4 linked regions of the Struthio camelus genome follow. The protein of the gene in region 3 interacts with the protein of the main gene of each other region in a pairwise test. Links are inferred from orthologs where the notes say so. Each region holds a gene or a part of one and is shown on either strand. Other genes may lie near its edges. The genes, in order: CCDC146, HYPK, TXLNA and BTF3L4.

Region 1 (7,526 bases), on a different chromosome or scaffold from region 3:
CAGCAAGGACTACTAAACTGTGCAAGATACTGAAAGACAAGCCTAAGACTAGACACAGCAAATATAGGCTCCTATAGGACTCCCTGTAGTGCTAATAGCAGCTGCCTTTAATTTAAGATGCATATTTAAACCTGTCCTTTATCATCTTCTGCAAATGCTCTTCAGGTTCTAGGGAGTTTCAGCTAACCTAGGAGCTTCCTGGACAAGCTGCAACTCAAAAATGCAAAAGCTGCTAAGAAATGCCCAAAACCAAAAAATAACCTAGGACCGTAAAAATGTGTACATCAATTTCTCAACTTCTTACAGCTAAGTGACAGAAGAAGAGGTCAGATAAAACTATCTGAGCAGAACAGTGTAATAAATACACACACCTCATGCACTCAAGGCAGGTCTGTGGAATGCTGAAATGCTTGCAGTCTATGATGCTTTCTCTCTAGATTGCAATTTGTTTTTACAAGGGTTAGGATACTGTGCTGATAACACTGATGTTTAATGGATACTTCTTTCCTATACAAAAGAAACAACCCAAACATTTTTTTAGTAATCAAAAAAACCCAGAACAACAAAAAAGCACACACACACACACCACACACATGCAAACAAATAAAAGACACACCCACCTCGAAACCCCAAAGAAACTAGAACTGAGGGGATACTTAAAAGTAGAACCTCATTGGCAAGCAGCACACCTACTGCACTGAAGTCTTCACTGTAATACCAACAATAAGGTGGTCTTCCAATTATATCCAGAGATAAATCTAGATATAACTGGATAACAGCCTGAACAATACTAACATCACAGGGACTCTGGGGTGCCAGATAGTAAGTAATAAAGAGGGATTGTAATACACATACTGAGCAAGATACTTGAACTGTATGATCTCACCACAAAACTAAGTGGAACAACTTGCTTAAAAAAACTAATAAAACCTATTTCAAGAACATCAAAAGCAAGATGCCTGCCAAACAGTCTGCAGAGCTAGTCGATGTTCAAAATACAATTGCAGTCTCAAAGAGCAGAGTACATTTGAAAGGCTAAATGCATTCCTTGCATCAGGGCTGAGATTACCTGGATCTTAATGCAGTAAGACCTTCTGCGCTGCCCCTCCCGCAAAGAAGAGTTAAAAAAAAAAAAAAAAAGCCTGGAGTAGCACACAATAGTCATTCAAACGTCCTAGAAAAACTCAAATACAAGACTGCTACCTATCACCTATATTAACCAAACATGCCTGGTACCAAAGAAATGAAGGGCAGTAAATGGGAAACTTAGGTTTTTTGATTGTTTGCAGTCCTGGGATGGACTCCCTTAATGAACCATACAAGTAAATGTAATCTTTGTACTTGCCAAGCAGGAAAAAAGTAAGAATTTAGTATACAGACAATTCATAAGGAAGAGTCAATTCTGTAAGAAACTTTTAAGAAGTCCCACCTTATAGAACTACTACAGTTCACTGAAAGAGTCAATGAGTACGTAGATAAGAGTCGATATATTTATGAACACTCAACTTGGATTTTCAGAAGTCTTTGACGAGGTCTTTAGTCCTATGCTTTATTTCCTGTCTTTTAACTAATAAATTACCTGTCATCTTTAGCCTTTCATGAATTTGGAAAACACTGCAAATATCATGGTTGCAAAGTTTCATCAACAATACCGAATTATTCAGAGTTACTAAAAAAACCTGACAAATTGCAGAAAGGTCTTAGAATACTGCATACCAGAATGATAAAAACAGATACTCAGTGGACAGTATACCTGTGCAATTATTCGCCAAAAGGCCTACAGTTTGTTTACACATGTAAACAGTTTCATGATGAGAATGGATAAGCACTTGGAAGGAAGATTTACTGAAAGAAAGATTCACTGTTTAGCTTTCTGAGCCACATCAGAGCTGAAAATGGCTGATGGATGTGAGAATACTTCAATGACATATCATCTGTGTTTGCCCTGTTCTTATTCTTCCCTGAGCATCTGTTTACAATTGCTGCTGTAGACAGGACAGTGGGCTAGCTGGACTCATGGCATGAATTCGCACGGCTATTCTATATAGGAAAAAGTGAGGCACATTGCAGACAGGGCAGAGGGGAAGCCCTTGATTTTATTTTTTTTTTTAAACCCAAGATACGTCTCTAGATTAGTCGTTAGGACACAAGAGGGACCTTGAGTTTTGTTTCTCATACAGATGAGAAACATCAATTCTCAGTGTTCAAAAAAAAAGAATAAATGAACAGTGACCAGAGAACAAAAGAGAATAGTGTCACTTTATAAATCCACTGCACTACTGCATTTTGAAGATGATATACAGTTTAGGTCCTTCTAACCTCACAAAGAAGGACATCACAGAATTTGAGAGGATATAGATGAAAATAACGAGGATAAAAAGGTACAGAATGTCTTTGCTGTCAGAAGAGCTTGGAAAAGCGCTAACCAAGAGAACATATACAGATGACACACACGAGGAGGGATAAACAGGATAGGATTAGTCACCATTTCTCATGGCACAGTTACAGCAGAGTAGCAAATGAAATAAAATGCCAGTCTCAAACAGCCACTTGAAACAAATACAAGGGTTTTTGGTAAACTGAAGATTTTTTTCAGCATAGCGGAACTGTATCTACACTACATACTTTGATACCACTATATATCTACATATGCACACATATAGTTAGAAAAGCAATTACATAAATTCATAGAAAAAAATACTTAACAACTGAAAAACAGAAATTGATCTCTAAGTCAGGAACTCCCGAAACCTCAGCTCAAGCAAGGGGATCTGTTAAGGCAAGCTTGCCCTGTTCCTTCCCTAAACCTATGGCCACTTTCAGGACTTCAATCCAGCAGATTTCAGCTACTACAGCTGCTCTTATGAGTTGTTTGTAGGTTCTGTACGAGAAACGCTGCCCAGATTTTTCTGTTCTGCTCAAAACTGCTAAGACTTGCACTGGAAAAGGGAGCGCTTCTTAGCTTTTCATCTGCATGGCTACCTTCCAGCCCTTTTCGACCCCTGGGGATCCCTTGGCCTGCTAACAGAGCTTGGTAGCAGGCCATATGCAAAAACCCTACTGGGAACAATCCTTAGACTGCAGGTGTGCATAGCACAACACTAAGGCCTGTATTCTCTCAGCTGAGCTGCAGTTACTTGTTTTTTTCTAAAAGACCAGCTGTCAGAGGAAAAAAAAAATAAAACCAGGCATCTGAGCTACCACTTAAGAGCGCTAGTTTTAGCTTTAACCGTTGAAAACCAAAGCTCAACAAGTGTTACGTCCAAACATGCAAGGAACCGGGAGACACGGAAGCAAAGGCCGACAACGTTTTCAAGCCTTGGAAGGGGCCACGAGGCGTTTCTGGATGCTTGTTGCCAGCAGCACTTCCAGTCCCACTGGGAGCAGTGCCGGGAAAGCCGCGACTCGCCCCACCCGAGGGCGGGATCCAGCTCTCCCCTCGGTTAAGAAAGGCCTGAGAGCAGCTCTCGCACCCGCAGGTGCCGGCGCGGCCAGGGGCGTCGAGCGGGGCCTCGCACGCCGTGGGGGCCCCCAGTGCGGCCGCCACCCCCGGCTTCACCCACCGAACTTCGGGGGCGTCTTGACGTCCACGGCCGCCTGGCTGCCCACGCTGTCGGAGACGATGGCCACCTGCTTCAGCACCTCGTCGTACCTCACCTGGACGTGGTCCAGGCGGCGGCCGCGGTCGGCGCCGCTGACGGTGACGAGCACGCGGTCGGCATCCGGGTAGCGCTGCGGGTCCAGCGGGCGCACGCTCACCTGGCAGGGCAGCCGCACCGCCAGCCGCCCCCGCGGGCTCACCGCCAGCGCCCACTCCCTCAGCGCCTTACCGCCGCCGGGCTCCGCCGAGCTGCCGCGGCGAGGCCCGCCCGCCGCCAAGCCACCCCGCCGCCCGCTCCCCTGCCACCCGCCCGCCACCAGAGACGCCCAGCGCGGGCGCAGCGCCCTCATGGCGCCCGGCGCGGCAGAGGCCCCCGAGGCTACGCGGGGCACGGAGCCATTTCCCGCCGCGACACGGCGGCGGCAGCAGCGCGCAGATGGGCACCGGGACGGCTGGTAAACAGCCGTTGGCGGCGGGCCCGGCCGGAGCCTCGCGCCAGTCCCCGCCCCCCTCCACCGAGGGGGCTTCTGGGAGACGTAGTTCCCCCCCCCCCCCAGCAGAGGGAACTACAAGTTCCCGAAAAGGGGCGACAGCAGCCGTACGCATTGACCTATGAGCGAAGGGGGGGAGGCGGAGCTTTTCCGTGTTCTGCTTCTATAGGGCAGCGGGAGGGATCCTAGGGCCAATGAGGAGCGAGCGTGACGGGCGAGGGCGGTTGAGTAGTACGAAAGGAGCGGAGCCGGCGTTGCCATAGGAACGTGGGACGCCGCTCCGCGCAGCCGGGGCCGGCCGCGGCCGCGCAGGTAGGGCAGGGGGCCGGGGCCGGGGCCGGGGCGGTGGGCCAGGCCGGGCCGGACCGGACCGGACCCCGGAGCCGGGCCTGGCCCTGCCGGCCCGGAGGGACAGCAGCGGTTGGGGTGGAGGGGGGGCTCGGGGCCACCTCAGCCCCGCTCGAGGAGGCTGCGAGGACAGGCCGGGGCGGCCTTCCCCCTCGCGGGGCCTCCCGCGGGGTCACCTCACGCGCCAGAAGATGATTTCGGTGCTCTCGAGGCCTTTTCCGTGCTCTCCTCGGGCCGGTCGTGGGGCTGCCGAGCTTTAACGTCCAGTGCGAGCGCCGGCGCTGGGGTGCCTGGCTGGTTTCCAGCCTGCTCGGCCCCCTGCGGCCCCCGCGGCCGCAGGCAGGGGGCGCGGCAGCGCGGGGCGGGGAAGGAGGAAAGGGTAAGGCCTTTGGGCGGCACCCTGCTCTTCGCTGCGCTTTTAGCCCGCAGTGACGCTTCACGTGATGAAATGCCCTTGGTCAGAGGATAAAGAAGCAGTTTACCAGATATGCTGCGAAAAACATTTTTCCAAAACAGTGTTGCGGAGCTCAAAAATTACGTGCTGTCAAGATAGCTTGGTTAACACGTTATTTATTGTGACTGCTTCTCAGACAGGCAGCCAAATAAATATTTTCCTTAGTGCTGTGCAAATGTGTCATGAAACAACAGTCCTTACAGGGTTTACCAACAAGTGGGGAAATACAGACTTCAGTTAAAGAGACTTTTATGGACTTCTTAGTCCACATTAGTATTATACAATAATTTTTAAAAAGGGGTGTGGATGAGCATAGATCATGTGAAGCTGGAGATTAAATTCCTGTTGTAGGTTTCCTAACAGTAGCTTACTGCCAATAATGAAACAGGCATAGAAAGGTGTGCGGTCTTAGCTACATTGCAACATAAGAAATAATGAAATCTAGGATTGTTGATTGGTTTGCTCACTCTTTTACACTCCATGTGTTGTTTCCAAAAATAACTATGCAAGCCATACAATATAATATTTGGTTTTAAGCTCTTTTCATCTTGTTAACTTCACTTCTGTTATTATCTGCATCTGGGAGTGATTATTTTTTAGTCCAAAATGACATTTAAATCTCTAATAGGAAAGAAGCTGGTCCTAGTTTTTTTGTCTTTCTGTAATTTTCACTGTAGAGAGTCTAATAAGGATTCATATTGGTCAATGAAGCTCTTCAAGTTAAATTATTTTGTTGGTTTATGTTATTCAGTCTCAAAAATCCTTAAATGAAAGACAAAACAGTGACGGTCAGCAATATGCTAGAATTCTAGAAAGACAAAAAGAGATTAAGACATATCTTGGGGCATGAAGAGGGCTATAAGTTAAAATTGTCAAGTCTTCAGAAATAGTTGCTTTTGGAAAAACAGTACAGAATTCTCCCCCTGAAACCAAATACTGAGTTTAGCTGTTGGTTACATAATTTGACAGGGAAGCAGTTACAGGCCTGTTAAATGGTGGTGCAATGAACTATGCTTCCACCAGATGACAGGCCATTCAACAAATAACTCTATTAACCTCCTACGTTCAAAGCAAGGAATTCCAATTTTTTTTTCAGGTGAGGCTTGACTGATGCCACACATTTCTCCTGAAGTTAGTGCTGCTGTGTCCTTATCGCAGTTTCCTGTCTCCTCTCAAACCTTAGCACTGCTGCCCCGCTGCCCCCCTTTCCTGCAGCATCTTGATAGGGCATTTGATGCTGTCTTCTTGGAGCAGAGGTTTATCAGGTTGGGCTCCATGCAGTGCTATGCATCATTTCTTATGCATCATCTTTAATATTGGCATGTCTCATGTAATTGAGAGTCTTGGTTTGACAAACTGTTCAAAGATGCTGAAGCCCTAGCTACCTATATATTTCACCGTTTTATGGGTTTGTTTTTTCCACTAGACACCTGTTAGAGGTATAAACACACTTTAAAATATATTTAAGAAGACTGAAGAAAGCAGGAAAGGTTCTACTGATGTCATCTGTATTTGAACTATAAAGTTAATTCCATTTCACCTTCATGCTTGTGACTGAATTCTACTTGATTCCATATCAGCTGGTATGGAGTGTGGCAAATTAAGTATTTCTTACCATCTGTGCAACAATAAAATGAGATTTATTTTCACTTTTAATTTTCTGACTTGTCACCTGCCAGAAAAGAAACCTTATATCAAATTTACAAATGGTTAGGGATTTAATTCGATCTGCAATTTCAAGACGTCTGCATCTGTACAATAGGGTGGGTTAAACCAGGACCTGTGAAAGTAAGTCCTTAATGATTTACCATACTCCTTAGTCATTGCCAGATGTTTACGTACCTGAATGTTGTGGTAAGTGAAAGAATTTACCAGAATATTCTGTATTACATGCAAGAGACAATAAAAAGTAGACCTTAGGTTGCTTTATGAAATAGATTTTTAAAGCCAGAGCTATATAAGAGGAGCTTTTAGGCTAAGGGAAGTCCAAGAGAGATCTTAAGGAAAGAAGAATTAAAAGAAACGGTCCTCCAGGAGAGGCTGTAGAAGGAATACGTATTTCACTTTGACAGTTAGAACAAAGTGCAGAACAAGATCAGACAGCTTCAGAAACCCAAAGGATATAAACATTACTTAGTCTACTTGGGCAGGATTAAGGTCATCCATTTGCCATACTTGTAATGAAGAAATAATACAACTTCACTATTCAGTAAGAAGAGGCTGCCCTGCAGGAGTGTTCTTGCTGGAATTACGTTCCTGCTGATGTTTACCTGCAGATGAAAGAACGTATCCTTTCAACTTGCCATCTGGAGTTAGGGCAAGATTTACCATGTACATGGCTAGTCACTACTTAGTGTTTCTTCATGTCATAAAGCTCAAGATGTTTGGTATGAGGATTTTTTTGTGAAGTTTATTAAAAATTCTTATGTATTTCTATTACAAAATATTTGTATTACATTATTGTAATTCAGTTTTTGTTTTGTAAATAACATTATTCTGTAATGTTTTTCTGGAACTACTTCCTTGAGCCTTCTTAAGTTCTCAAGTCATGCCTAGGGCACAATGTTGAGCAAACCTTGTTTTTTTTCTGTGTTTTCTTTCCTGTATTCTAGTGTGTGTGTAGGGATGGTAA
Region 2 (7,681 bases), on a different chromosome or scaffold from region 3:
GACCTGCCACCCCCCAACCCTGCTGCAGGACTGGGACTTGCCACCTCCGACCCTGCCGTGGGGCTGGGACCTGCCACCCCCCCGACCCAGCACCCCTCCGTCTGGCAATCCCCCATGCCCAGCCCGGTCTGGCCGGGAGACCCCGGCCAAGGCTCCCTCTGTGCGTTGACCCCTTTGTGCCTGGGCAGATCTGGGGGCTGGGGGACGGCTGGCAGCTGCTGCCCCTGGGGCTGGCGCAGGGCCACCATGTGGCACGCAGCCTGGTGAACGGGAGCCGCGAGGCCGGCCCCGCGGCAGCGCAGAGGTGAGGGCGACGGGGTGCTGCCAGCGCCCGCGCGGCCCTGCCCCGAGCCGTGCCCTGCCGCCCCGGTGAGGGGCAGGGAGCAGCGCCAGGGCAGGCGCTCGCAGGGCTGCCCGCGCCGGCTCTGGGCCGTGGCTGTTTCCGCGCAGGCTTGGGACCCTCGCCTGCTTCCTGAGCCCCGAGGAGCTGCAGGAGCTGGCGGCGCTGCAAGACCCGCGGGGGCCGGTGGAGCAGAGCCTGCTGGCGTGCGCCGCCGCGGGGACCCTGCAGCAGCATGGGCGGGTGAGCCGGCGGCGCGCGGGGCATCCCCGGGGCACCCCGCCAGCGGGCGCCCCGCAGCTGCAGCCTCCCGTCGCCTGGCTGCTGGGAGAGCCCGGCCACGACGGGGCCGCCGGCGCCGGCTCCTGGCCAGGCAGCGCGCTGGGGCCGGGTGCCGGGAGCAGCTCCGTCCCTTCCCCTGCCGTGGGGCCGGCCGGGGGGCAATCTGCCCACCAGCCCCAGGCTCACAGCCCTGCGGCTCCGCGCCGGCAGGTCATGCTCGCCCTCGCGGACTTGCTGCGCTCCACCAGCCTGGCCGCGATGGGCCCTGGGGAGCTGCCGGCGTGGAGAGGCGTCCTCCCCGAAATGGGGGTGGGCTTCCTGGAGCGCCTGTCGGCTGCCCAGCTGGACGCCCTGCTGCCCGCGCTGCAGCCCGCGCAGCTGACGCGCGCCCAGGTGAGCCCGGCGCGGCACCCCGGAGCCTCGCCGTCCGCCCAGCTGGCGGTGCCACCGGCCCCCCGGGCGCGCGGCCCCGCCGCTGGCCCCACCGCCTCGTCCTTCCCTCCAGGCATCCTTCCTGCTCACCCGGGCCGTCCGGAGGGACGACGTGAGTGTCCGGATGCTCCTGCCTCCCCCGAGCCCGGGAGCAGGGAGAGGACGAGACCCCCGCGCGGCGCAGCCCTGCGCTGCTGTCCCCACGCCTGCCCCTGCTCCCAGCCCCTCGGCCGCTCCCGGGGCCGGCAGCCCGGCCTGCCCCGCTGCGGCACGGCGGCCTGAGCGGGCCGGCGCGGTTCTTGGCAGGTGACGGCGGGCGACGCGGGCAGGCTGTGTCCCCTGCTGCCGGGCCTGAGCCCCAGGTCGCTGGCGGCCGTGCTGGCCCTGCTCCGGCGCCGAGGCTGTGCGTGCCTGGGGCCGGCCCTGCCGCTGCTCTCGGCGGCGCAGACGGCGGCGCTGCTGCAGGCCCTGCAGGTACCCGCAGGCGAGCAAGGCGGGGGCCCCTCGGCCGGCCGGCAGCGCTCACCCCGGCGCCCGCGCCTCCCCAGGGCCCCCGGCGGGAGCAGCCCCCGGACGGCTGGCCCGACTGCCTGCTGCCCCTGGTGCCGCTGCAGCTCCTGCGGCCGGGCGCCCAGGCCCTGCAGGGCGCCCCGCGGGCCCCGCACCTGCCCTGGTCCCCGCAGCAGGTAAGGGGCCGGGCACGGGGCCGCGCGGGCGGCCTGCGCCCCCACCGCCTCCCACCGCTGCCCCTCCGCAGGCCCAGCTCCTCTGGAGGGAGGTGGGAGCCAGCGCCAACCGCAGCCACCGCGCCACCGGGTGAGAGCTGCCGGCGCCAGCTGGGCCGGGGCTGGGTCCCGTGGAGGGCAGGGAGCTGGGAGAGGTGGGGTGCCCTGGGCAGGGTGCAGGGTGCGGGGGGGCCCTGGGCCAGGGCTGGGTGCCCTGGGCAAGGGCAGGGTGCGGGGGGGGGGCCTGGGCCAGGGCTGGGGCTGGGGGGGTGCTCTGGGCAGGGGCTGGGTGCCAGCTGGCCAGGGGCTGGGTGCAGGGGGGTTGCCCTGGGCAGAGGCAGGGTGCAGGGTGGGTGCCCTGGGCAGAGGCAGGGTGCAAGGGGTGCCCTGGCAGGGGCTGGGTGCAGGGTGAGTGCCCTGGGCAGAGGCAGGGTGCAGGGGGTGCCCTGGGCAGGGGCAGGGTGCAGGGTGGGTGCCCTGGGCAGGGGCTGGGTGCCCTGGGCAGAGGCAGGGTGCAGGGGGTGCCCTGGGCAGGGGCAGGGTGCAGGGTGGGTGCCCTGGGCAGGGGCTGGGTGCCCTGGCAGGGGCTGGGTGCAGGGTGGGTGCCCTGGGCAGGGGCAGGGTGCAGGGGGCGCCCTGGGCAGGGGGTGCCCTGGGCAGGGGCAGGGTGCAGGGTGGGTGCCCTGGGCAGGGGCAGGGTGCAGGGGGTGCCCTGGGCAGGGGCAGGGTGCAGGGTGGGTGCCCTGGGCAGAGGCAGGGTGCAGGGTGGGTGCCCTGGGCAGAGGCAGGGTGCAAGGGGTGCCCTGGCAGGGGCTGGGTGCAGGGTGAGTGCCCTGGGCAGAGGCAGGGTGCAGGGTGGGTGCCCTGGGCAGGGGCTGGGTGCCCTGGGCAGGGGCAGGGTGCAGGGTGGGTGCCCTGGGCAGGGGCTGGGTGCCCTGGGCAGAGGCAGGGTGCAGGGGGTGCCCTGGCAGGGGTCGAGCAGGTCTCCCCAGGGTCGCGGGCAGTACGAGCCGGAGCGAGGAAGGACACGGTCTCACCCCACGGCCGTGCAGCGCCCTGGGCTCGCTGGTGGTGGGCATGAGCTGCGCCGCGCTGCAGGAGCTGGGCCGCGAGGATTTCCTGGGGGCTCTGGGGACCCTCTACGCGCGGCCCCGCGCCCTGCCCGCCAGCCTGGTAAGGAGCAGGCTCTGCCGAGCCCGGCGCCGCCCGACGGCAGCGGTGCCGCCGCTCACGGCCGCGGTGTCCGCAGCGGCGCTGCGTGCAGGAGGAGGCGCTCAGGCGGCCGCCGCTCGCCCGGGAGGAGCTGGCACGGCTGGGACCCGAGTTCCTCATGGAGCTGCCGTAGGTGCCGGGGCCGGGGCCGGGGGCCGCCCCGTCCGCCGGCGGCGCCCGCAGCGCAGTCTCGGTCCCGCAGGGCGAAGCTGCTGGAGACGCTGCCGGGCCCGGCGCTGCGGCCGGCGCTGGCCCACGCGAGACGGCGGCCCCGCAGCCTGCTGGCGCTGCCGCCCGCCCGCCGCGCGGCCCTGGCTCGCGGGGCCCTGCGCGCCCTGTCCCGGGGCGCCGCGCCGGCCGGGCCCCCCCGCGGCCCCCCGCCGCTGCCCGCCGAGGCCCTGGACGCGCTGGGCCCGCTCGTGGGCTTCCTGGGCCGGGAGAGCGCGGCGCGCCTGGCCCCCGAGAGCCTCCTGCCGCGCCTGGCGGAGCTGCAGGCCACCTGCGTGGCCGCGGAGGCGGCCGAGGAGCTGGGCCGGCTGCTGCTGGCCGAAGGCGCGCTGGGGTAGGCGGCGGCGGGGCCGGGCCGGGCCGGGCCGGGCCGGGCGGTGCCGGGCGGTGCCCTGACCCCGCTGCCCGCAGGCCGCCGCCCCGCTGGCGCCCGCCCGCCCTGCAGCAGCTGGGGCGCCTGGTGTTCCTGCTGCCGGCCGGGAGCCTGCGCGCCGTGCCGCGGGTGAGGCTGCCCGCTCTCCGCCTGCCCGCTCTCCGCCTGCCCGCTGTCCAGCTGTCCCGGTGTCCCGCTGTCCGGCTGCCCTGCTGTCCCACTGTCCGGCTGTCTGGCTGCCCCGCTGTCCCTCTGTCTGGCTGTCCCGCTGTCCGGCTGCCCGCTGTCCTGCTGTCCGGCTGCCCCACTATCCCGCTGTCCCGCTGCCCGCTGTCTGGCTGTCCCGCTGTCCCTCTGTCCGGCTGCTCCACGTGCGCAGCCCTTGCGCCACCCCGGCCGGTGCCGACCCCGCCGCCCCCCTCCCCGGCCGGTGCCGACCCCGCCGCCCCGGGCCGTTCCGCCGCCGGGTCGGTGCCGCCCCGCTCAGGCCTCTGCCGCGCCGCGCAGGACTTGCTGAGCCGCGCCGCGGTGGAGCGGCTGCTGCAGAGCCAGCGGGACTGGGACGGGAGCGAGCTGGGCCGCCTCTGCCGCCCCCCCGGCCCCGGCCCCGGCCCGCAGCTGGAGGCCCTGGTGGCCCCGCTGGTGGGAGCCACCGGGCCGGGCCACCGAGGTGAGGCAGCGCTGCCCCTGCCCCGCTCCTGCCCTCGGGTCCCCAGAGCCTCCCCCCGGGGCTGCTCGCACACCCCTCGCCCAGCTGCCACGTGTCCCCTGTGCCCCCCGTCCCGGGTCCCGTCCTGCCTGGGGCTGGTCCTGCGTCCCCTGGTGCCCCCCGACCCCAGGCTGTCCCTGTCCAGGAGTGGTCGGTCCCCTGTGCCCCACGTCCCCGGTGCCGTCCCCCGGCATTGGCCCCGTCCCCCCTGTGCCCCACGTCCCCGGTGCCATCCCCCGGCATTGGCCCCGTCCCCCCTGTGCCCCACGTCCCCGGTGCCGTCCCCCGGCATTGGCCCCGTCCCCCCTGTGCCCCACGTCCCCGGTGCCGTCCCCCGGCATTGGCCCCGTCCCCCCTGTGCCCCACGTCCCCGGTGCCGTCCCCCGGCATTGGCCCCGTCCCCCCTGTGCCCCACGTCCCCGGTGCCGTCCCCCCGGCATTGACCCCGTGTCCCCTGTGCCCCACGTCCCCGGTGCCGTCCCCCGGCATTGGCCCCGTCCCCCCTGTGCCCCACGTCCCCGGTGCCGTCCCCTGGCATTGGCCCCGTCCCCCCTGTGCCCCGCGTCCCCGGTGCCGTCCCCCGGCATTGACCCCGTGTCCCCTGTGCCCCACGTCCCCGGTGCCGTCCCCCGGCATTGGCCCCGTCCCCCCTGTGCCCCACGTCCCCGGTGCCGTCCCCCGGCATTGGCCCCGTCCCCCCTGTGCCCCACGTCCCCGGTGCCGTCCCCCGGCATTGGCCCCGTCCCCGCCGTGCCCCACGTCCCCGATGCCGTCCCCCGGCATTGACCCCGTCCCCCCTGTGCCCCACGTCCCCGGTGCCGTCCCCCGGCATTGGCCCCGTCCCCCCTGTGCCCCACGTCCCCGGTGCCGTCCCCCGGCATTGGCCCCGTCCCCCCTGTGCCCCACGTCCCCGGTGCCGTCCCCCGGCATTGGCCCCGTCCCCGCCGTGCCCCACGTCCCCGGTGCCGTCCCCCGGCATTGGCCCCGTCCCCCCTGTGCCCCGCGTCCCCGGTGCCGTCCCCCGGCATTGGCCCCGTCCCCGCCGTGCCCCACGTCCCCGATGCCGTCCCCCGGCATTGACCCCGTGTCCCCTGTGCCCCACGTCCCCGGTGCCGTCCCCTCCCGGGGCTGGGTGCTGCTGGGGGCCAGGGCTGGGGCCAGGCCGCGCTGCCGCCGGCTCCGCAGCCCCGGTGCCCAGCTGCGCCGACGTGCGTGCCACCTTCCCCGCGGCCTGGAGCGCGGCCCAGCTCGCCGCCATGGACCCCGCGCAGCTCCGGCCCTGCCTGGGGCTGCTCAGCACCGACCCGGCGCTGCGCCCCGACCAGCTGCGCGCCGTCCTGGGCCAGGCCAGGCGGGTGAGACGGGCCGGAGAGGGGGCGCAGCCGGGGCTGGGGGTCTGTGCTGGGCTGGGGGGGCAGAGCTGGGCTGGGGGGCTGTGCTGGGCTGGGGGGGCAGAGCTGGGCTGGGGGGCTGTGCTGGGCTGGGGGGCTTAGCTGGGCTGGGGGGAGCTGAGCTGGCTGGGGGGGGGCTGTGCTGGCCTGGGGGGGGTCTGTACTGGCCGTGGGGGGGCTGAGCTGGGCTGGGGGTCTGTGTTGGACTGGGGGGGTCTGTGCTGGGCTGGGGGTCTGTGTTGGATTGGGGGTTCTGTGCTGGACTGGGAGGGGCTGAGCTGGTCTGGGGGGCTGTGCTGGTCTGGGGGGTCTGTGCTGGGCTGGGGGTCTGTGTTGGACTGGGGGGGGCTGTGCTGGTCTGGGGGTCTGTGCTGGGCTGGGGGGGCAGAGCTGGGCTGGGGAGGCTGTGCTGGACTTGGGGGGGCAGAGCTGGGCTGGGGGGGCTGTGCTGGAGTGGGGGGGCTGAGCTGGGCTGGGGGGGGTCTGTGCTGGGCTGGGGGGGCAGAGCTGGGCTGGGGGTCTGTGTTGGACTGGGGGGGGCTGTGCTGGTCTGGGGGTCTGTGCTGGGCTGGGGGGGCAGAGCTGGGCTGGGGGTCTGTGTTGGACTGGGGGGGCTGAGCTGGGCTGGGGAGGGTGGGGGGGGGTCTGTGCTGGGCTGGGGGGGTCTGTGCTGTCTTGGGGGGGTCTGTGCTGGCCGTGGCGGGCTGTGGGACCATGCTGGCGCCAGGCGCCCCAGGCTCGGTGCCGGGGGGAGCGCGCCCAGGGCCGGCCGGCAGCTGAGCGGGTGCTGCCGGGCCGTGCAGCTGCTGGGCAGCGGCCAGGCGCCGCAGGCAGCCGCCAGCCTGCTCCTGGGCCGGCTGGCCACCCAGCTGGGCGAGCCGGAGCTGCGGCAGCTGGCGCTGCCCGACTGGGGGGCCCTCTCCGCCCTGGGCGAGCTGGACGGCTGGTCGGGCAGGCAGGTGAGCCCCCGGGCGCCGCGCTGCAGCCGGCCGGCCGGGCCACCGGGCCCCCGCCCGCCGCCCAGCGCCCACCTCGGGGCTCTGCTCCCCCAGACGCGGGCCGTGGTGTCCGGCTTCCTGCGGCAGCGCGGGGCCAGCGCGCGGGACCTGCTGCTGCCCGAGCTGGTGGCGCTGGGGCACCTGCTCTGCGGGCTGCGGGCGGCGGAGCTGCGGAGCCTGGACGCCGGGGAGCTCAGGTCCGTGCCCGGGCCGGGGGGACTCAGCTCCGCGCGCGGACCCCGGGCGGGCAGCAGGGCGCCGCAGAGGTGCAGGCAGGGACGCGGCTCCAGGCAAGGCTGCCACCGCGCCGCGCTGCGCCGGGCTCTGGCTCCGGGCACGCGACGCTCTCCGCCGCCCCGCAGCAAAGCAGCCCCTTTCCTGGGCTCCCTGAGCCTGCGCTGCTCGGAGCAGCAGATGGAGGCCTTGGCGGCTCGCCTGACCTCCAGCGCAGCCTTCGGCCCGGCCGGGGCCTGGGGGCCCGAAATCTTCACGGAGATCGGGACGCTGGCAGGTGAGGGGCAGTGCCGCGTGGGGTGGGACAGCAGCGTGCCCTGGCCCGCCACGGTGACTGCTGCCCCCCGCGCCCCCAGCCGGGCTCCCCGACGTCGTCCTCTCGGCGCTGGTCCCTGAGCAGATCTGGGCGCTCACGCCCCAGGCCGTCGCTGCCATCCCGGCACCCAAGCTGGCAGTGAGTGCCCCCACGCTCCCTCCCGCGGCCGCCAGCGCCAGGGCTGCTGTCCCACTGTCCGGCTGTCCGGCTGTCCGGCTGCCCCCTGTCCCTCTGTCTGGCTGTCCCGCTGCCCGCTGCCTGCTGTCCGGCTGTCCGGCTGCCCCACTATCCCGCTGTCCCGCTGCCCGCTGTCTGGCTGTCCCGCTGTCCCTCTGTCCGGCTGCTCCACGTGCGCAGCCCTTGCGCCACCCCGGCCGGTGCCGACCCCGCCGCCCCCTCCCCGGCCGGTACCGACCCCGCCACCCCCCTCCCCGCGGGGCT
Region 3 (7,859 bases):
GAAAGATTCAGGTGCATGTGATCTGACAGATTTGTCTTCTATCCCTGCACTATCTTTTCTGCAGGCACAATGACTACAAAGTGGCCTCCCCAGCTTTGCGAGCTGTCGGCAACATTGTGACAGGTGATGACATCCAGACCCAGGTGAGGGGATGTGACTGTCTTACAGATGCAACTAAAGAGGAGTACAGCTCTTGATACTAATGATGCTTATGGTTGTTAGAAAGTATGTCTCCCTTATATATCAGTGCATGACTTCTTTCAGTGTGAGTGCTTTAGTTGGTAGCAGTCTGTTTCCATCAGCATGGTTTAGTCCGGCTGCTGCAGCAAGCTTTTAGAAGCAAGGCACATCAGAATAGTGTTTGTTTTTCTCTTGCTTTCTGTTATTTTGGATGTGTGGGGGTGGGGGGTGTGGTTTTAAAATGGAGCTTCAGAAAGTCTGATTTCAAGACATGGGAGATGGGGCAAAGTACCTCTCTTGTACCTTTTTCCCACAGTGATATAATAGGAGAAGTACCTTTCCTTCCCCCTTTCTGAAAAGGGCAAGGAGGGAAATGCAGCACCCATACAGCATATTCACTGTGTGAAAATTGAAAGAAGGTGGAAAACTTGGCTCTCTTCCTGATACTGGTGACCTCACTTCTGCTTTCCTTATCATAAGGTGATCCTGAACTGTTCAGCACTGCCTTGTCTCCTTCACTTATTAAGCAGTCCCAAGGAGTCGATTAGGAAAGAAGCCTGCTGGACTATTTCTAACATCACAGCAGGAAACAGAGCACAAATACAGGTACAGCTTTGAGGCTTTTAGGTTTCATTTGTAGTGATCTTGGAGTCCAAGTTCAGTGTTCAGAGTCTGCAAATCTTTTTCTTATCTGACCCTTAGAGGCTTTAAGCTTGTTTAAACTCTTTAAAACTCTTTAAATTTTGTGGGCAGGCTGCTCCCAGCTGTAGGCCAAATAAATTAGCTAAAAATCTGCTAATTGTACTACAAAGGGATGAGACTGAAATGACTGAATGTCCCCCTTTTGGATCATTGGAATAAGAACAGGACATAAAGCCCCCATTTCTCCATGCTCAATTAGAGATACCCCTTTGAAAAGCTGTAGCTTGTTAAGATGTAATTGTCCTTTTAATGGCCTACATAACAAGGCAGATAAAATGAGACTTTCTACAGGACTGATGCAATAATGAGGGACTATTTACTGTGCTAGTTATGGAATTGAATATAGGATTTGGTAGAGGAATAAAATGGAGGAATTGCTGAAAAAGGTTTAGGCCGGAAAGCTTACTGGAAAGTAGAGAGAGATTTCTTTCAGCTGCTTTTGGAAACCATGTTGCCAATTCAAACACTTCATACTGTTCTCTCTCCCCAGGCAGTCATAGATGCAAACATTTTCCCAGTGCTGATAGAAATCTTGCAGAAAGCAGAATTCCGTACAAGGAAAGAGGCAGCATGGGCTATTACAAACGCAACGTCAGGAGGAACTCCAGAACAGATCAGGTACTCCTTATGGCCCCACTTAGGGGAAATCGGTCTGAATGTATGGCAGCTTTATGTCTTTGGGATCTGCAAGACAAAGCAGTAAGGGAGAACCTCTGGGAGAATACCTGAGACATGGGCAAGGCTGTAGCTAGACAGTGTGCTCTGCTGTGCATTGCAGTTTCCTTCTGAAATGGGATAAGCAAGTGTCAGACTAATCCAAACTGCTTCCCTCTCACGTCTTTAAAATAGCTTAAACTAGGCTAAATGTCCAAACCTCATTTAAATTCCCGTGTGGGCTTAAACTCAGTGTCACCTGAGTTCACTTCAAAGGGAGCTGGCCCTTTTTTTAAAGGCAGGGTTGTATATGCATAGAAATAAGTGGAGATAAATATTAAGCTTGCAAAACAGTAAAATATACTAATAATGTTAAATAACGTTATAGTTATTTAACATTATATATAGCTTATATATATATATATAAAAAGTTATTTTAGTTTGACTCATTCCTTTGAGCTTTTTTTAAGTGAATGAAGGCGATGTTTGCTATCCTGCAAGCTGAGTGTATGTTCTGGGTGCTCTCTCTGTAGATACCTGGTAAACTTGGGTTGTATCAAGCCTCTTTGTGACCTGCTGACTGTCATGGACTCAAAGATTGTTCAGGTGGCGCTGAACGGCCTGGAGAACATACTGAGGCTCGGAGAGCAGGAGGCCAACCAGAGTGGGACAGGCATCAATCCTTACTGCAGCCTGATTGAGGAAGCCTATGGTAGGTTGTGGCTGGTGGCCTTGCTGCTATTGCCTTTGAAAACCGTAGGGTATGTTGACAGGTGTCTGCTGATGTCATGGATTTCACTTCTGCTTAGCACTTAAGTGTGTACCAGATAAGGGATTTTAGTATGTTCCAAATGAGATGTTATCACGTGGCCTGATTCTCCCAATAAGAGCAGTTCTTGAAATTCATAAGAACGTATGTTGCTTGGATGCTTCCTGTTCAGCAGTGGATTTAAGTCAGATGGCTAAAGCAGTCACTGCCCTCCTGCTGGAGGGAGGCCCCTGGGGTCAGGGCCTGCTTCTTCCCCCTTCCAGCCCCAGGACTGTCAAACTATTCATGGCCAGTTGTATTAGTCCCACTGATTTCAGTTTTGCCTTCAGCAAGGGAGCTGTGAGCAGCTAAGCCTACTGTTGTAAAGATGTCAGTGCTGTCTGATAGGGATTAAATTTCCAAGCAACTCTGGAGTAATGGGAAGAGTTAGCTTTAGATGTCAGAGTGCTGCAGACAAAATGCACATCTAACACAGGCAGGGGTCTTGCCCTGAACAGGGGTGAGGGTGGAGGATGGATGTGGGACAGTGTAAACACTGGGGTTCTCCATGTTTTGTCACACGCTGCTTTTCTCTTCTCTAAGGCTTGGATAAGATAGAGTTCCTGCAGAGCCATGAGAACCAAGAGATCTACCAGAAGGCCTTTGACCTGATTGAGCACTACTTTGGAGTAGAGGATGATTCTGCTCTAGCTCCCCAGGTAGATGAGAACCAGCAGCAATTCATATTCCAGCAACCTGAAGCCCCAATGGAAGGTTTCCAGCTATAATGTGCCCAGAGGGGAAAAGAATACTACAAACTTGCCAGGAAGCAACTGGGAGCAGCTGATGGTCCCACCCCCCTCCTTGCAAATGGAAGGCTAAACACCCACTCCACCTGTTAGGAAGCAACTCCTCCTTCAGAAACAACTAGAAGCAGTGCTTTGTCCTCATGGAGAGAAGGGGAAGTTCTTACACTTTTTCTTTTTGCTGCTGCATATGTGTCTTTAAAGCAGGCATCTGGGTGGAGGAAGGACACTGAGATAACAGATTGCACCTCTTGTGGGTTTTTTTTTTTCTTCCTCTTTGTGGTGATCTCCCAAATGTCACTTTTTACCTTGGGTACTTAAAATTGAGATTTCAGCATTGGGTTGGGTAAGAACACATAGAAAGTGAGCATTCTGATGACAATAATTCTGGAAACCTGGGTTGATCTATTTAATTTTTTTGCACATGTTACTCTTATTAAAGACTCTAATTTGCCAAGAGCAAAGTTTAGCCCTGGCCTTTCTGCGACCCTCCTTCAGTGGACAGTCCTGTTGGACCTGGGCCAAGTTCCCCTGAAATATACTGTAAATGGACAGAGAAGCAGGGAAGTCTCCCAATCCTGGGAAAGCTTTCTGGGGGAAGGATTCTTCTTTTTTTTTTTTTTTTTTCCTGGAGAACTGCTAGTGGTATTTACAAGGAAAAAAGCAACAAAACCCCAAAGATGGTAACTATGAAGAGGGTGGGATGCTTGGGTGGTTTTTGAAAGAGGAAGCACAGCTGCCATTGCACAGGCTTTGTTTGCATTGCTACTGACTGAAGTCACAAACTGTTGAAATGATGAAACCCATCTTCATTCTTACTTGAAGTTTTTTTTTTTCCTCCTCTCATGAAACCATGTTTTGAATTTTGGGGTTTTTTGGCTGGGTTGGGGTGGATCATAATATGGGCTGGGGAGGAAGAGGGCATAGCTACACTTGACAGCAGTGTTGTGTGCGGTGTTAACTTCAGTAGCAACAGGCCTGAGTTTTCAGGTTTACCTCCTGCTCACAGTTGGATCATGTACATTTTACTTCAAAAGGAAGAATCAAATCCCTGTATTTTTTATATTATATATAGGTAGATATTTGTCTAATTGGGCTTCAGAGAAAAATATATATGAAATTTCTGTAATTTATGTAAATAGAATACTGTGAGGCAGGCATACCTGGAAATGACGGTCTGTGAGCTCACTCACTGGTTGTCCTGCTTCTTTTCCTCTGTTTACTCATGTACTGTATAAGCAAACATAGATCTGTCTTAAACTCCTCTACCTGCCTTGAGTTTACTTAGCCAAGATCTCATTAAAAAACAAACTAAAAGGGGGCGGGCCAGGCTGCGGAGAGCGAAACCGCTGCGGGGGCGGCCCGGGGGCCGAGCCCCGCGCTGGTGAACGAGTAAGCGACAGCGGCGCCTCGGACGGCGGTGGGGCTCGGCGGCCCCCCCCCCCCCCCCCCCAAATCCCGGGCGGGCCCTCAGCGCCGGTAACGGCCGCCCCGCGCGCGGCACGCCGGGAGCGGTAGTTCGCGCCCCCCCCCTCCGGCCCCGCGCGCGGCACGCCGGGAGCGGTAGCTCGCGCCCCCCCCCGGCCCCGCGCGCGGCACGCCGGGAGTGGTAGTTCGCGCCCCCCCCTCCGGCCCCGCGCGCGGCACGCCGGGAGCGGTAGTGCCACCGGCGGACCCGCCGCCACTGCCGCCTCTCACCGGTATTTCCCGGCGGGCCTCGCGGCGCCGCAGCCGCTGATTGGCCGGCGGCGCGGGGGGCGCATGCGCGATGCGCGCACGCTGGGAGGCCCGGGCCGGAGCCGTGGCCTGAGCGCGGAGGCCGGAGGGAGGCGGGCAGAGAGCCGCCGCCGGCTGCGGGACCGGCGGGGCGGCGCCGGGGAGGAGGCCGCTCCGTCTTCGCTTCCCTCTGATGTGCCGGGGTGCCGCCGGCTCCTGCTCCCTGATTGGCTGAGGAGGGAGGGGGGTGACGCGTCAGACCCCTGGCGGTGACGTCACGGGGTACGTGGATGACGTCATTGCGGTGGTTGGGGGTGTGTGTGTCCGCCTGGAACGTCATGTCGGGGTGGGGAGGGGGGGCAAGGCCCTGGGGGTGCCATGGGGCGGGCTGTTAACGGGGGAGTAGGGCCGGGCCGGGGGTGTTAACGGGGGTGGTGACCGGGGTGGGGGGAAGAGGCTGGGGGGCAGGAGTGGGGCACGGCTGTGGGGAGCAGGTGGGGGGTATAGCGAGGGAGCAGGAGTGGGGCACAGCTTGGGGGAGCAGGCGGGGGGTACAGCGGGGGGCATGTGTGGGGCATGGCTGAGGGGGGCAGGCACGGGGGTGGCTGGGGGGCAGGTGAGGGGTACAGCGGGGGGCATGTGTGGGGGTGGCTGTGGGGGAGCAGGCAGGGAGTATTGGCTGGGGGACAGGAGTGGGGCACGGCTGTAGGAAGCAGGCAGGGGTACAGCGGGGGGCAGGAGTGGGGCACGGCTGTGGGGAACAGGCGGGGGTACAGCAAGGGGGCATGTATGGGGCACGGCTGAGGGGGGCAGGCACGGGGGGTGGCTGGGGGGCAGGGATGGGGGTGACCGGGGGGCAGGCAAGGGGTACAGCGGGGGGGCAGGTGTGCGGCACACCTCGGGGGTCGGTACGGAGCGGGCAGGAGGGGCAGCGTTAGCTGTGGGGCAGCGCAGGGGTGCCGGCGGCGAGGGCAGGGGGTGCCGGGGCGGCGCGGCCGGGCGGGGCGGGGTGCGAGGAGCTGCCCCTCGCCCGGGGTGCTGCGGAGCCGGCCGTCGTCCGCCGGCGCCTGGGGCAGCGCGCGGGGGCTGCGCTGTTTCCAGCAGCAGCGGAGGAAAAGGAGCGCCCGGGGGCTCGGCGAGAGCGGGGCGCTGGGTGCCGCGGGCCTGCCGTGGGAGGGGGCGCAGCCTCGCCGGCCTGGGGGCGCGTGATGCGCGTGCTTGGCTGCTGCGCCTGCTCCTCGTTTTCGCCCGTGTTTTGCTTCGGCAGCCGTGTCCTGGGCTGCTCTCTCGGAGAAAGCTCGGGTCTCCCTGGGCGATGACTGCAAAACTGCAGCAAAGGCTTTTTCCCACCTCTTGCAGAACGCTCCCTTGGCTCTAGACTAGGAGCACTGGCTGCCTCTGCTTTGTAATTAGTATCGTGATTGGAGCAGAGAACGCGGGGGAAAGAGTCAGGGAGAACATACCCTGCTGGGGGAGAGAGGAGGGAGACGAGCGGGGAGCTGAGCTCGGGCTGTTCGTTGTGGCTCACGGTGATGCTAGTTAATCTTTTCAGCGCTGAGCTCCAGCTCTGCCTGGGAGCTGCACACTTTCCTCCAGCCAGGTATGCGTTTTTGTTTTAGTTGGTGCTGACTTTTCTCCTGCGGAGGCTTTGGTCTCTGGGTCTTCCGCGTAGACAGGGGATTTATTGCCAGTGTGCACAGATCACTCTCAGCTGTGAAACATGTTTCTTAGCAGGGAGGAGAAATGTTCCAAGAGGAAAATATGGTGGGGCAAGGGGAAGTAACAGTGCTGAGAAAGATGTGCCCTACATGCTGCACGTGATTCGGGATTTGCTGCCTTGCCCTAGAAGGGGCTGCTTCTAGCATTTCTCAACTGGAAGAAGAATTATTCTGATATAGAGGCCTTTGCGTTCAGGCGCAAATCGCAAAATGCTGCTTTCCTCTGCGCTGAGCCGCAGGTGGGATAGTGGCAGCTGGCAGTGGGGAAGCAGCCTCCCCAGGGACGAGTTGCTTCTCCGTTCTGAGTTCATCGGTTCTCGTTGACTCCCCAGCAAGGTGATGAATCCTGCTATAACCCCCTAATCTGTTACTTCTTAAAATTAAACGTAGTTGCTGTTTCTCTTTTGCTAGGGTTTGTTGAGACTGAGTGGGGAGAAAAGTCGTGATGAAGAACCAAGGTGGGGAGACCAAAGCTGCCCTGCGGCCTGCTAGTTCTTCCAAAATGAGCAGCAGCCTCGTGCTGGAGGAAGGCGACTTACCTGAGGCCGCAGCACCCCTTGAAGGTGGGGAGACCCCCGGTCCCGGGACACGCAGCTCCCTGTCGGTGGCTGGGGGCAGTGCTGACAGCCCGAGCAGCGGCACGCAGGGAAGCGGGAGGGTGGGTTTCAAGCCTGAAAAGAGTTGATCTCTTGCTTTCTCCATAGGAGGGTGGGCTGTTGTATCCAACTCTTTTTACTTGTATAAGAGCAGTTGTGATGTCAGGAGCAGAAAATCCTTGTTTCTTATCGCTTCTGCATATGTGCAGTTCTGAAGTAGTTACTGCTGCCTTGGGGAACAGGTTACCAAAGTGTGGAGTTGCATCTGCCTTTGATCCTGACCTGAACATGATGGGTTATTTGCTGTTGCTTAGACCTGAAGGATCCCATACAGGAGAAAAGTCAGACAATCTTTCCCTGGGGCAGTGTTATGTTGAGTGACCTGCCCTGTTATCGGCGCTTTTCAAGTCATAAAAATAATTCTCTAGAAGGAATAAAAAACATGTCTAGTAAAGTAGGTGCTTAGTTAAAATTCACCCGGCCTTATGTATATTCTGATGCCTAGTAAACGTGGGATGTAGTGAATGCCCAGTGCATAGCGTTAGTTTAATAACCAACTGCTGTCTGTTATCAAGGAGTCTCATTTGGGGGAATTTTGGAAGCTAAGACGCGTACTAAGGGATGGGCTGCCTACTCCTTCCCTAAGCATCTGCTGTTGGATGCTCTTAGGGACAAGATACCTTTGATCTGACCCAGTACAGCTGTTCTATATGTGACGAGAGAGGCTAACTTGGGTTTT
Region 4 (6,855 bases), on a different chromosome or scaffold from region 3:
GCTCCGGCTCGTCCAGCGCCGCCCGCAGCTCCGCGGCCCGCCGGCTCTTGCCGCTGCCCCGCGGCCCGCACAGCACCACCAGCGGCATGGCCGGGACCCGCCGCTTCCGCTCGCGTCACGCCCGGGACCCGCCGCTTCCGCTCGCGTCACGCCGGCGCCTGGGCGACCGCCGGCGCCACAGCGCCCCCCGGGACAGCGGCAGCGCTGGGCCGGAGGCGGGGCGAGTGCCGAAGCGCCGCGGCTGGCCGGCTGCGTCACAGCCGTGAGGCCGCTTTGCGCCTTTGCGAAGCGCCGCTCCTTTCAGTCGCTGGTAAAACGAGCGGCGAAGGCGAGGGCGGCGGAGGGGAGTCGGTCGCCAGGGCTGCGACAGGCGCCAGCCGAGACGAAAAGCCACCCCTCGATTCTGCTCAGCGCTAGGGTGATCTGTATCGTTTCCTCGTCATCATTACAGTAATCTTCATACACCCTGTGGCCCGCAGTGCATCTGCTTTTGTCATTCTCGCTGGACGCGAGGTGATAGGTCACCCTCCCCCCCTCCCCATAAATAGGCTCTAAATGCCTTAAAGATCATTCTATACAGTAATTTTTCATCTCCTGCCCTATGGATCGGCCTTAGAACAAAAATCGGCTTTCGGGGGGGGGGGGGGGGTCTGCTTCTCTTCTCTTTTTGTTGGTTTCTCCCAAGCCTCGCAACTCACTAACACTCAAACGCTGCTGAACTCAAATAAGCGAGCGGGTCTGTGTTTCCGGCAACGAAGGAAGAGCACGCGCCTTACAGAAATCCTGCCTTACAGGATCTCCAGGGGCAGGTCCTGACTGCAAACCCTCGTGCTGCCCATGCCTGAGAGCGTATCCATCCTCCCAGCAGCCTAACGGTCTGTTAACTCGTTTTAAGATCTTCTCTGTTTTGTGGCAAAGCAATGCCACGATTATTCCCGCAAATACTGAAATTGCCTAGTTTTTGTACAGGTATATCAAATAAATGCTAAAACGTCCAGTTAAGCACTTTGTTAGACTTCTCAACTGTACCATCTGTGCTAATGTGGTGTCTGCACTAGACATTGTGTGGTGAGTGGATGGATCAGTTTGAGCGCAAAATTCAATTAACCATCCCACCCGGAAGGCATAATCCATTTCCACTAATGTCAGTATTGTGCACCTGCACACATCTTCTCAGATCTAGCTTGCAAATTAAAAAAATACATTTTAGACCTTTTAATAGAGACAGTGTTGTTTTAGAGTTTGGGTATTCCCAAAAGAGGTTCTGTTTACACAACTTACCAGTTTGCTGCAGTTTGAAACTTTTGCAGATGGCAGCAAAATGACTCCCTCAGCTCACAGTAAGGCATCAAATCTATATCTGCATGTTCAATTTTACAGAAGCTATTCGCACAGTTGAATTCAGGGGGATTGAGTGAGTACTAGTAAGTACGTGTGTTTGTGGGTTTGGGGGTCTACATCCTTCTTTGCTATGATAGAGTCAAAAACTACTTTCTTCTCATTTCAAAGACATGACTTCAATCATGTGCTTAGACTGAAGTGGTTAAACTGAGGTGGCGCCTCAGCAAAGTTAAGAAAAATCTAGACAGACTAGAGGGATTTGAACAATCTCCTAAACCACCGTCACATCTTCTAATAACCACTACTCTCGGTGGTTAAAATTTGGACTGATACAGAATCTTTGCGACTTTCTTAGCGACGCTTTTCTGTATTTAGAACTACATAACATACCTGGCTGCTGCTTCTTTCTTCCCATCTTCTAGTGTTCTCCAATGAATATGGTCTCCGAAACCTGCCAGAGAAAAGGGTTTATAAATGTTGCGTAATGTAACATGTCAGCTAACAGATGAAAACAGTCTAACCTCTAAGGACATTTTCAACTCATTTTATATTCTTTTTTTAAAGCAAAATATAATCCCAGTCTCGGAAAGACTGGAAGAAAAACAACTGGATAGTCATGGAGAGACAAATAGCTACATCCTACACAGTCTTACGAGGAATCTCACTGAAATTAATTAACAAACGCAAACCACACACATATTAATATTTACACATATGCAAATGACAAAAAAATCTCCGAAACAGAGACTAAACTAAAGTGCCTTCTGATGACTCCCCATTCCTTCTCAATCTGTGAACATTTATTAACTGCTCAGGGACAAATTAAACATGTTCCCGTTTGCCTTTCTAAATCCCACTGAATGTGGGCTAATGCAAAACTTAAAATACCGAGGCCGATAAATGATTATTAATTGCTCTAGAAATACTACACCAAACATTACAGCTGTTGATAATCATGGTGAAAGAGGACAAAAGAGCCCCATTACACAGTTTTCTGAATGTTACAGTGACTGACAAACGCAGGCAACGTTTCATTCAGTAACTGCATAACAAGTCTTGCGACGTCAGCGGAGGTAGGACTGAAAGAACATACGTTTTAACACCTGTCAAGCAGCGACTGCCACTTTTTTGGCCCGATAACCAACACACCAATATCATCACACGGCCAAAAGCCACGCGGAGATCTGAGAGGAGACTCCGAGCGTGGCACGCGGGCCGGGAGCCCCAGGGCTGACACGGGGAAGGCAGAGAGGACTGCAGCAAAGGAGCTGGAGAGAGGCGGGAGCCGGGTCAGCAAAACGCCATGGCACTTCAGCAACCGGGAGGTTTGAACTGCTGGCACAGTATTTTTATTACCTTAGCTTGTCTCCTCACGCAAACTGCCATGAACGTATGTGACGCAACACATCAAATATTTAGTTTTGCCAGTAGCGAGGGGGGTGCATCCTGTTCCTGTCCAGCCACACGCGTCAGCTCCAGAAACAAGCCTACATTGGAGCCACCCGCACGTAGCAAGGCTAATAAAGGTCGGTTTATCAGCAGAAGTCCTATTTACCTAGCGTATTGACGCATCAACTGTTTCACTCAAAGGCCAACATGTTAACTCAAGGAAAACCTTAGGTTGCTCTAGCCAGCAAAGGCTTTTTAGAAGTTATTCTTTCAACCAAAAAGCATGCTGTGGTGAGCTTCAGGATGTCCTTTAAAGCATTAAATAACGTATGAGACAGCGCCTCTTTTTCACGACAGCGAACTTGGGACTCAACCAGAGGCAACGACGGCTTGCCTGCCTCGATGTTTGACCGTTTGGGACTCACACCGCCCAGCCGGGCCGCCGTCGATCGAACCGTACGGCCGACTACCCAGGCCGGAGCCGAGACGCAGCGCTGAGAAAGGAACTCGCTCGCCCGGCCGACCCCGCCGCTGGGCCGGGGTTCAGGAGGCAGATATGAAACAGAGGAACCCAGCGAGGAGTGCTCAACGCGCCGGCGTCCGAGGGGCCTGCGGCCCCGGCGCTGGGGGGAAAGGCGGGTTGGGGTGCGGGCCAGGGCCACCTTCCCCGCCGCCCCTTGCTTGGCCCAAACCGGGGCAGCGCGCCAGGGCGGCTCTACGCGCGTCGGGGCTTCGACAGGAAAAAGAAATCACGCCGTCTGCCCCCGACGGGCACCTGCTAGCGAGGCCCGAAAGCAACGCGATAAACTGCAATAAAGCGGCGCCTCCCCCCGCCCCCCACCCCCGTCCCCGGCGAGCTCGGTCGCGGCAGCCCCACGCCCGAGGAGGAGCCCGGCCTGACCCTTTCCGAGCCCGTCCGCCGCCACAGCCGCCGCCGCCATCACCAGCGCGAGGCACAGGCACGACATGGAGGCCGCCGCCGCCATGACGCCCCGCGGCCCTCACGCAGTATCGCCCCGCGGCACCTCCGGCTCGCGAGCGCACCAGCCCCGCTGATTTTTTTTTTATTTACTTATTTATTTATTTATTTAAGCGCAGGAAGTGATGTGAAGCGGATGTGGGCGGTGCAGCGCCGCCGGCTGACAGGCTGAGGGCAGCGGTGGCCCTGGCGGTGGGTTTTTCTCTCTCGCGGCTCTTCTCCCTGGCAGAGGCAGGTCGCCGAGGCGCAGCAGGCGGTACCGCGGTCAAGCCGGGCCCCTGGTAAAAAGAAAGCCCCCCCCTGGTTCCGCCTCCCTCCCTCCCCCATTAAGACTCGTCTCGGCGGGAGCAAGCAGCGCAGGCTGGATTTCGCCTTTATTTTTCTCTGCCAAATAAACACCGTTTCCAGGACTGTCAGTGCTGCCCCAGGTGCTTGGGAAGGTAAAACCGGCCGCAAACGTTCATGACACGAGCGGGGATCCACGACGGGGGAAGAGGTTGCCGGCAAGTGCAGGATCGCGCGGCATGAGCCGCGGCGTCCCGGGTGTTGCCCGAGGGCGGAGGGCGCGGGCAGCCGGCGGCCGTGCCAGGCGCCGGGCGCTGCCTCGGGGCCGGGGGGCTGCGGCGGCTGGAGACCTGCGTTAACTCGCAGAACTCCCATTGACTTGGCGAGCAGGAAGTCTGCAGGCGCTCCCGCTTTGCAAACCTTTGTATGCCCTTCTTCCCTCCCCTCCTTTTTAGACAAGGAGACATAGCGAGCCGGTGTTGCGCTGCACCGGTGTAACAGGCCAGGACGCTGCCGCGCCGTACGCGGCGGGAGAGGGGAGGGCCGCGCCGGGCTCGCTCTGTGGTGTGGCGCCATGTCCGCCCCGCACAGGACTACAGCTCCCAGCAGGCAGCGCGCGCCCTGCGCGCCCGCGTCGACGCGAGCGTGCTTCAGCGTCGCCGCCAATCGGCGGGCGTGGAGGGCGGGGCGGGTTGGCGCCGTCACGTGGCGCGAGGCTTCCTTTCTCTGTGCGCTTCTCTTTCCTTCCTCGGCCGCCATCTTGTTCTCACCGCGTGTTGGGCTGCGGGGGAGCCGCCGGACGCAGGTGAGAACTTCCCCGCCCCGCTCCGCCACCCCCCCCTCGCTGCCATCCCCGGGCGCGCGCGGCGGCCCGCGCGCGGGGGGGGGGGAGGGAAGGGCCCAGCCCGGCCGTGAGGCAGCGGCGCGGGCAGCCCGGCTCCCTCCCCGCCGGGCCGCGGCGGGGGCAGCACGGCGGAGCCCGGGCTGGGCCGTGCGTTGGGCTCCGCGGCTCGGCGCGGCCCTCTCCTCCTTTCCCCCCGCGGCTGAGGTGTCGCCGGTTGCCGAGGGACGGGGCCCTCCGCGGCTGGCGGCCAGAGGGCCGGAGGCCTTTGTCCCGGCCGGGGTCGGCCCGTCGCGGTGTCCCTGCAGGAGGCCTCCCGGTGGCCCGTGGGAGCCGCCTTCGCGCTCTGCTTTGCACGGTGGAAACGCAGTGAGGGTTGCCGGTGACCTCCTTACCGTGCGGGAAGGCTTGAGGCGCTTTCCAGACGTTAGAGGTTTTTAGCCTTGCCAGTCTCTAAAGCTCCCGCTTTAAGGAAAATCTGCTTGGCTAACTTCCCAGTTACTGAATTGGATGTGTAGCTGCTGGAGGCCCCTAAAAAATACCTGTTTATGCGCGAGCTTCAACTGGCCCGGAGCGAGCTTGTTAGTCAGACGCATTGGAAGTTCGCTATTTGGAAAAAGCATTAAAAGTAGCTTAGTGGTGACTCTCTTCCTGGGCTCTGTTAAAAATAAAGGTTTCTTCCTGTTTTTTCTACGAGCAGTTGTGCAGTACCTGCTGGTTTGGGTCAGTTCTGAGCAGCTCAAGCTAATTAGACTGTGCCAACAGTGAAGTGACATACTTGTAAATTAACAGCTAATATTTCATTACTAAAATGCTGCAAAACTAATCTTCCTGATAATCTGCTTTATAATAAGGCAGGCGTTTCACATGCACAAACTAGTGTAGGCACTTTTTTTAAAATTACTTGAGTAGATTGACTTTAAAGCTTTTTGTTTGCTGTGTCTCTCCGCTGTTTTGGAGAAACTTCTATCCATTTTAAAAAAACTACAAATTTGAAGGTACTTTTAAAAAGAATTATGCAAGTTATCTTAATGTTTTGAGAGATAACCTGTATTTATATCTCATCGTTTAGGAACAGCACTATGAATCAAGAAAAACTGGCCAAGCTTCAAGCTCAGGTCCGAATAGGAGGAAAGGTAAGAAAAACACAAAGTCTCTTACAGGAAAGAGTGCATCTCTGAATCGATGGGTTGAGGATGAAACTTCTCTGAAACTTATTTTTATAAAACATAGACTTCAGTTCATAGAAAATCTAACTTGGATATATACTTTAGAGGCCTAAAAAATTCACTTTTCTTGTGGTCGCGATCATAGTACTGCCAGGTAAAATGCAATTTGTCTCAGTTCACAGTCACTGGATCAGTAATTTTAAGTGTGTAAGCTTTCTTCTTCATTTGGTGATTTGCTGTGACCTCTGGTAGCTCTGCGTGAGCGTACCTACTGGTTACTGCAGTTTGTCCTTTCTCTTCTCCCCATTGGCAAGTTCTGCCCCTTGCCTCATGCCAGCTCCAGGGCTCATCTGATCCTGCACTGAGCTGAATCTTTTCTCTGAGCTGGCAGGTAGCTAATAGTATAGCACAAAAAGTGTATAAGTAGTTCCGTGTGGGTGTTCATCTCCTAACCCTAGGCGTGGTAGGGGTGTTTTTATTATTTTTGTTTTGGTTTGGTTTTTTGGTACAAAGTTGGTAAAGTAGGAATTCTGAAATTGCTGTCAGTAGAACAGTTTAAAAGTGTTAATTACTTGGTTAGAAAAGCTTGAACTTTTTAAATCACTGCATTTGTGCTTCATCTTGGGAAAAAAATAACTAGTAAGAAGTTCTCAGCAAGAGTTTTACGTTGTTTACTAGTGAATAATATTAGTCTTGCAGTTTAACTTGTGGGAAAGTACTGCAGTAGTTGAGTGTTGTTTCTGTCTTTTACAGTTAAAAAAGAATAATGGAAATTGGGAGTGACTGTTAAACTGTGGATGAAGGAAATAAAGAAGCGTTTTTGACTGCAGAGCTTTCTCATCTTTTTAAGA

The links.
Region 1: the proteins of TXLNA (region 3) and CCDC146 interact in binary tests that used the Homo sapiens proteins (3 or more experiments, as listed by UniProt). The link is inferred for Struthio camelus from reciprocal best matches to the Homo sapiens genes TXLNA and CCDC146.
Region 2: the proteins of TXLNA (region 3) and HYPK interact in binary tests that used the Homo sapiens proteins (3 or more experiments, as listed by UniProt). The two-hybrid records come from large-scale screens. The link is inferred for Struthio camelus from reciprocal best matches to the Homo sapiens genes TXLNA and HYPK.
Region 4: the proteins of TXLNA (region 3) and BTF3L4 interact in binary tests that used the Homo sapiens proteins (3 or more experiments, as listed by UniProt). The two-hybrid records come from large-scale screens. The link is inferred for Struthio camelus from reciprocal best matches to the Homo sapiens genes TXLNA and BTF3L4.

The regions. Positions count from the first base shown.
Region 1 is NC_090942.1:14,107,390-14,114,915, reverse strand, and holds the start of CCDC146 (coiled-coil domain-containing protein 146), read left to right. Parts: upstream 1-4,503; 5' UTR 4,504-6,004; coding exon 6,005-6,159; intron 6,160-7,526. Other genes in the region: protein FAM185A, read right to left, coding at 3,564-3,951. UniProt on the Homo sapiens protein: Essential for sperm flagellum biogenesis and male fertility.
Region 2 is NC_090953.1:424,504-432,184, reverse strand, and holds the start of HYPK (huntingtin-interacting protein K), read right to left. Parts: upstream 3,007-7,681; 5' UTR 3,003-3,006; intron 2,953-3,002; coding exon of another isoform or gene 2,832-2,952; intron 1,871-2,831; coding exon of another isoform or gene 1,812-1,870; intron 1,741-1,811; coding exon of another isoform or gene 1,603-1,740; intron 1,529-1,602; coding exon of another isoform or gene 1,361-1,528; intron 1,016-1,360; coding exon of another isoform or gene 833-1,015; intron 584-832; coding exon of another isoform or gene 451-583; intron 305-450; coding exon of another isoform or gene 189-304; intron 1-188. Other genes in the region: STRC (stereocilin), read left to right, coding at 189-304, 451-583, 833-1,015, 1,361-1,528, 1,603-1,740, 1,812-1,870, 2,832-2,952, 3,029-3,120 and 8 more. UniProt on the Homo sapiens protein: Component of several N-terminal acetyltransferase complexes. Inhibits the N-terminal acetylation activity of the N-terminal acetyltransferase NAA10-NAA15 complex (also called the NatA complex).
Region 3 is NC_090964.1:8,542,290-8,550,148, forward strand, and holds the start of TXLNA (alpha-taxilin), read left to right. Parts: upstream 1-4,857; 5' UTR 4,858-5,088; intron 5,089-6,358; exon of another isoform or gene 6,359-6,406; intron 6,407-6,935; 5' UTR 6,936-6,969; coding exon 6,970-7,087; intron 7,088-7,859. Other genes in the region: KPNA6 (importin subunit alpha-7), read left to right, coding at 65-143, 661-786, 1,373-1,500, 2,070-2,248, 2,888-3,072. UniProt on the Homo sapiens protein: May be involved in intracellular vesicle traffic and potentially in calcium-dependent exocytosis in neuroendocrine cells.
Region 4 is NC_090949.1:31,393,995-31,400,849, forward strand, and holds the start of BTF3L4 (transcription factor BTF3 homolog 4), read left to right. Parts: upstream 1-3,833; 5' UTR 3,834-3,990; exon of another isoform or gene 3,991-4,799; intron 4,800-4,932; exon of another isoform or gene 4,933-5,268; intron 5,269-5,907; 5' UTR 5,908-5,917; coding exon 5,918-5,971; intron 5,972-6,855. Other genes in the region: TXNDC12 (thioredoxin domain-containing protein 12), read right to left, coding at 1-88.